Tribolium castaneum: one gene and its partner. The protein of the gene in region 1 interacts with the protein of each later gene in a pairwise test. Links are inferred from orthologs where the notes say so. Each region holds a gene or a part of one and is shown in the gene's direction. Other genes may lie near its edges.

Evidence for each region. The genes of interacting proteins can lie anywhere in the genome.
Region 2: the proteins of follistatin (region 1) and Trx2 interact in binary tests that used the Homo sapiens proteins (3 or more experiments, as listed by UniProt). The link is inferred for Tribolium castaneum from reciprocal best matches to the Homo sapiens genes FST and TXN.

Annotation. Positions count from the first base shown.
Region 1 is NC_087396.1:21,200,822-21,204,897, forward strand, and holds the start of follistatin, read left to right. Parts: upstream 1-1,276; 5' UTR 1,277-1,568; intron 1,569-4,076. UniProt on the Homo sapiens protein: Multifunctional regulatory protein whose primary function is to antagonize members of the transforming growth factor beta (TGF-beta) superfamily including activin, myostatin, GDF11 or bone morphogenetic proteins (BMPs).
Region 2 is NC_087401.1:17,531,617-17,534,414, reverse strand, and holds Trx2 (thioredoxin-2), read left to right. Parts: upstream 1-1,452; 5' UTR 1,453-1,590; coding exon 1,591-1,614; intron 1,615-1,728; coding exon 1,729-1,872; intron 1,873-1,932; coding exon 1,933-2,082; 3' UTR 2,083-2,298; downstream 2,299-2,798. Other genes in the region: transmembrane protein 53, read right to left, coding at 85-292, 347-555; myelin regulatory factor, read right to left, coding at 2,770-2,798. UniProt on the Homo sapiens protein: Participates in various redox reactions through the reversible oxidation of its active center dithiol to a disulfide and catalyzes dithiol-disulfide exchange reactions.

The DNA of each region.
Region 1 (4,076 bases):
CATTCAAATTTTGTAACAAATTCATAAACATTTCATCAGTTTTGATAAATCCTTGAGCGGAAGATTTGATTATTTTACATTTTTTAGGAGAACCTATATTTAGAATGGAATTTTCTAAATTTACTTGACATATAATTGGTAAAACACAAATTAATGCTGAATAATTGAAAAAATTGTTTATCAGACAAATCTTTTTTTTTTCTCATTGATGAGCAAATACCGCATATTCATGGAGGCCCGGAGACTAAATCTGCCTAAGAAATAAAAAGTATTACTGTCTAGTTATAAATAATTAGATATTTTTTGTGTCTTTTTCGCAAAAAATTGCCTATTTTAATGTCTCCTTCCATAATATTCCTTCAATAATTTTTAACACAGTTTAACACTGAAAAAAAAACATCAGCTAATGCATTCGCACCCCGAATCTAGTACACCAAATTTCCGCAATTTTTTTTTGATTTCCTAATGATTTTTTCTGATTTTTCTATATCTTTCAGTTTTAGTATTTATTGAACAGACGGTATAAAAAAGTTTTTGTTCAGTCTACGTCAAGGATTTCTCCACTTTGTGATTTGTTTGAGTTTGCTTTCTTGATGTAATGTAAAATTTGCTATTTGAATAATAAATTTCTGGTCCATATAGAGAGGAAAATCTCCAGACTTAAAAGTAAATTGCTATCAGATCAATACGTTATTTATTTAGTTCCAATTTTTGATAATAACACCTAAAATAAAAGATCTAGCTCAAAATTATCTTTAATTTCACGATCTTAGCAAAGACGAAAGCAGTGTTTTTTAGATAGCAGTTAGTTTGGAAATTATTTTTTCTAATTAGTTTTTTGTCTTGCAGCGTAAAAATTTAAAAAGAAACTAAAGCATCAAATTGAAATGTATTTAGTACGATATAATAAAAATTAATTTGTTTTTTCCCTGTTAGAATTATTTTTCTGATTAGCAGTAAAATTTACTAACACACTCGGAGCCAGTTTCAGAATCAGAACTGGATTATGATTCAGGAATCTCTCGTATTTGGAGTAAAAATGTGATGAAATAAAACCACAAAAATGAACTGTTTCCAAATACATGTATTCAAAACAATCGAATAATAAATACATAATACAATTCACACTTGCAAACATTTATCTACAAATATGAGAGTTGGTGACAGAAAAGTGGAAAAATGTAATAAGTCGTGCACATGGTGCGCGCCGCCGCCACTTGTTGCTCCCTCGTTTCCTCCCCTGGGCAAGCAGGCGGCGCACCAGGTGGTGGTCCCTTCCGTCGTCGTCGGCGTCGCTGCATCTGCAGGTGCACTCACCTGTCGGAGAGCGAGCCTCGGCTTCGCTGTGGCAGCGCTGCTGCTTCACTTAGACATTCCCCGCCGGGAGTTTTTTTGGATCGTAAAGGCTACGGTCGTACCTCAGTCGATTGGTGGCTGCCTTGGCTACTTGCAACGCGCTCGCAGAGGTCCTTCAAGTCCTGTCTCTTGACTGACGACGACGCACTACGTCTCGGAACGAAAGTGATGTAACACCAGCGATGCCTTCATTCAACAGCAACACGAAACTGGTGAGTCCGAAATTTACTATTTTCGAAAATTTCAATTCCCGCCAAAATTCACACTTTGATCAACAACAACTAATCTTACCGACACCAAGGTCAAAAAATATACAGATTTGATTACTAGACAGCGGATTTTTCGGAAGTGGCGAGAAAGTGGGGTAATTTGGGGTACGTTTTTTATTAATTCCGACTGCAGGAAAAATAAAAACATTATTTTTATTGCAATAAAGTTACAAAAATTTTAAATTCTGTATTGAATATAAATATTGTTCTAAAGTTGAAGTTGGAAATTAGTTCGGTTTTCATTTCTTCTAGAAAATGAACTCACTGTATGCAGTTATTTTCAGTTAATTTTTATATTTAAATTTTTTTTCTAACCAACTGCTCAAATATTTTTTCAAAAATTTACACTTTATTCACTAACTAAATAATTTCAACCAACAAGTGACAGACCTAGATTTGCAAAAATTTTCAAATAACCCAGTTCCCAGATTTTTTTAAGAATTTTTTTCATTTTACATTTACAGTCCGGTGATAACTAGAGACCGGCACTTAAAAAACTCGGATTAAATTTCTTTCGTTAAAATTGTAAATATTTAACGCCCTTTTTATTTTTCCTAGATTCCTAAAGTGACTTGTATCCCAAATGTGTCTTAAACATACTGAAGCTTTTTTTAATATATTTTTTCAATTTTTTCGTTAGTAATTAGTTTAAAAACATAGATTTGAATTTTCAATTTAATAGTTTTTTGGTTTTTCATCAGAAGATTTTTTGTTTTTAAGGCTTCCAGTCTTTCAATCACAGTTTTTAGGTTTCTCAGTATTTCAGCTTAATTTTTCTATTTTTTTTCTGTTTTTCAATTTCTTAATGTTCTTACTTTGCATTTCTATAATGTTTTAACTTATGACTCTACAAAATTTTTAATCTCATTGTTTTTTTGGATTTTTTGTATTTCAGTTTTTAAATTTTTTCAATCTCTTAGTATAATGTAGTGCAATGTTTCAAATTATTAGTGTTTCTTTTGTCCAGTTCTAGTCTTCTCAGTTTCTCAGCTTATTTAGTTAGTTAGAACTGACTTTATTTTCGTTTTTGATGAGTTCGTTATAACCGGACTCACTGTATTTTTATTTTTAATTGACTTTTATACTCAGATTTTTTTGTATAGTTTGCAAAAATTTTCAAATAACCCAGTTCCCAGATTTTAAGTTTTTTTTTTAATTTTTTTCATTTTACCTTTACAGTCCGGTTATAACTAAAGACCGGCACTTAAAAAACTCGGATTAAATTTGTTTCGTTAAAAATGTAAATATTTAACGCCCTTTTTATTTTTCCTACATTCCTAAAGTGACTTGTATCCTAAATGTGTCTTAAACATACTGAAGTTTTTTTTAATATATTTTTAAAATTTTTTCATTAGTAATTAGTTTAAATCACTAGATTTGATTTTTCAATTTAATAGTTTTTTGGTTTTTCATCAGAAGATTTTTTGCTTTTAAGGCTTCCATTCTTTCGATCACACAGTTTTTAGGTTTCTCAGTATTTCAGCTCAATTTTTCTATTTTTTTTTCTGTTTTTCAATTTCTTAATGTTCTTACTTTGCATTTCTATAATGTTTTAACTTATGACCCTACAAAATTTTTAATCTCACTGTTTTTTTTGGATTTTTTGTATTTCAGTTTTTAAATTTTTTCAATCTCTTAGTATAATGTAGTGCAATGTTTCAAATTATTAGTGTTTCTTTTGTCCAGTTCTAGTCTTGTCAGTTTCTCAGCTTATTTAGTTAGTTAGAACTGACTTTGATTTATTTTCGTTTTTGAAGAGTTCGTTATCACCGGACTCACTGTATTTTTATTTTTATTTGACTTTTATACTCAGATTTTTTTTGTATAGTTTGCAAAAATTTTCAAATAACCCAGTTCCCAGATTTTAAGTTTTTTTTTTTTAATTTTTTTCATTTTACCTTTACAGTCCGGTTATAACTAAAGACCGGCACTGAAAAAACTCGGATTAAATTTGTTTCGTTAAAAATGTAAATATTTAACGCCCTTTTTATTTTTCCTAGATTCCTAAATTGACTTGTATCCTAAATGTGTCTTAAACATACTGAAGTTTTTTTTAATATATTTTTTAAATTTTTTCATTAGTAATTAGTTTAAAAACACTAGATTTGATTTTTCAATTTAATAGTTTTTTGGTTTTTCATCAGAAGATTTTTTGCTTTTAAGGCTTCCATTCTTTCAATCACACAGTTTTTAGGTTTCTCAGTATTTCAGCTTAATTTTCCAATTTTTTTTTTCAGTTTTTCAATTTCTTGATAGTGTCTATAGTGTTTTAGCTTATGACTACAAAATTTTTAATCTCACTGTTTTTTTTTTTGTATTTCAGTTTTAAAATTTTTTCAATCTCTTAGTATAATGTAGTGTAATGTTTCAAATTATTAGTGTTTCTTTTGTCCAGTTCTAGTCTTGTCTTGTCTCAGCTTAGTTAGTTAGAACTGATTTTGATTCTTTTTC
Region 2 (2,798 bases), on another chromosome or scaffold:
ACAAACATTTTATGGCAAAGTTAACAGCATTTCAAGGCTTATTTTTGTATCTCATGAATAATCATTATACATGGAAAGTTTTACCTGAATCGGTTTGGGGCTCTTTTCAAGCGCCAGCGTGAAATTCTGATACAGAAAAGCGCCCCCATTTGAGAAACAATGCACAATAATCGGGTGATTCTCAAAATTTAAATCAACCAAAAGCTTAACGAGTCGTTCTCCAATCGTGATCATCTGCAGTCGCTTCCAAAAGAGGCATTTCACCGGAGCGGTGTATCTCAAAGTTATCAAACTGTTAAAAAAAATGGAAATTGAAATTTTGTAAAAATCAAAAAATTATTCTCACCCTCGGTCTTCGTAAATTTGCGAATATTTGGCCAAATACTTATCCTGACATCCGGCCCAACCGAAAAGTAGGATAACGGGGATTTTTTCTTCATTGACGACAAAAACGTAGTCACTTTCTCCGGTGCCATTCGGTTGGCTGTAGTTAAAATTTGGACTGGGAAATTTGATGTAATATTCGAGATTGTCGAGATCGGCGGCACCGGCCATTTTTCAAAAACGGTGCGCATCGATCGATAAATGAACGTGGATGACGGCGCCGAAGCTGAGTGACGTGGGGGACGACGTCAGTGACAATTTGTGTATTGTTGGTTACATATACTTTCCCAAATTTAAACGATTTCTCGACTAACTCAAGCGCTTTTCAAACAGTTCTAGATTAAATTGTTATGCATTACTCATATCAGTGGAGTTTTTTCAATAATAATCTAAATGATTGCATATACATTAGCAAGTTTTTGGCCATTGCAAACAATTTATTACGATTTCTAAAAAACTTTAGTCCTGTTGTGATTTAGTTTCACCAAGGACAAGTGTTTATTGCAAAAATCGTAAAATACTTAAACATAGATTAAAATACAATTATTTCACTACATAGATAAGAGATAAGCGCGTCTGATCTCAACTCAAATCCGCTGAGTAAATAATGAGTAATGTAAATAATGAAATTCTCACTTTTTTTCGTAATAATTACAATACCACGTGACCGATAATAAGTCACGTGTGCCTTTATTCGAAGGTTGCTTGATAAAATTCCGCTTTTATTGATTTCATAAAAATAAAAAATCACTCTAACCGAATTATTTTCGTGATTTATTCACCAAATTCTCAAAATTGATGATTGAATTGAACACTGACGTAAAAATTTAATTTTGGTCACGACATGACTAAGACCAAGCCTTGGGTCAGGTGTGACAATTGCGCCGAATTGCGAAAAACACGGCAAAAGTGGCGCCAGGAAGACACCCCGGACTTTTCCAGGCGTGGAAACTGTCCAACAAAAGGTCTTCTTTTACAATTTTGATAAAATCGCTCACATGGTCCGACCTGTATCACTCAACCCTTGACCTTGGACCCACCAATCGTAGCAAAGTTTAGGTGACGCATGCGCATTTAAATAACAAAGTGGCATTGTGTCAAGTCATTTGTACGAGTGTTGTCGTCCATCTTCAAATCATTCCTTTCTGTTGCCCATTTCGGCGGAAAAAGACCCATCAAACAGCGGAGGCCCATCGTAACCTTACCATGGTCACCCACATCAACGATAAGGTAAGGCCCATGTGGGCGTGGCACATTTTCCGGAAACGCAATAGATTTTTGACAGATCGTGACCTTCGATTAGCCGGAACAAAAAATTTAATATACAGAGTGTTTGTTTCACAGGCCGACCTTGTGTCGAAGCTCACCGATGCCGGCGACCAACTTGTCGTCATCGACTTCTTCGCTACTTGGTGCGGGCCATGTAAAATGATTTCGCCGAAATTGGAAGAGTTGGCTCAGGAATTCCAAAACGTGCACATTTTCAAGGTAGGCGGCTGTGTGTGTGTATCTATTTGACGTTTGTTTTGTCAACGTGTTTTGTTTTAGGTGGATGTGGACGAATGCGAAGATATCGCGATGGAATATAATATTTCGTCAATGCCTACTTTTGTTTTCGTGAAGAATAGTCAAACGATCACGCAGTTCAGCGGCGCCAACTATGAAAAGCTCAGACAGTTGGTAGTGGAGAACAAGTAGATTGTTTCGTTTTCTTTAATTTTTTCATGTACTTTTAACACAAATATTTGCAAAAAAAAATTGTAATCCGAGCATTTTTCTTGATTCAATGCGTAGGTTCTGTTATTTTTTATATTAATTGTATTTGAAAGCGTGAATTGTTGTATATTTTGAGATTCACCAAGTAGCGCCTTAAATGATGTAAAAGCAAAATAAAGTCATTAAAACGTAACAAAACTGCGTTTTTTTAAATCAAAAAAACAATTTATTTTACACAATCACAAAAAAATAAAACAATATTGCAATAATACATGATATTTACGCTAAAACTAGTATTTGTTCATTTATATTTTTAATTCTATAAAATAATAAAAATTTGTCAAACAAGAAAAATATTTTACAATACGATAAAAGTCTAATCTACACATTATACAATTTATTGGACGGACGAGAAAATTAAGTACATTATATGAGTCATAATCTAAAAACGCTACAATATTTTTTTGGTGCTTTTTCATTTTACACTAACTAGAAAAGTGTTCAAATCTTTCAGATACAGGTACTTCTACAACTAGGTGATGCTGTAGTAACATCGAACACTTTGATAAAACAATTAAAAAAATATAATATTTAAAAAAAAACACGTAAATAAATAAATGTCATGCATTTCTTGTTCTTAGTTTCCTTTTTTTGAGTAGTACGTATCGTTTATTCATCACAGTGCCGGTAGAAATGGA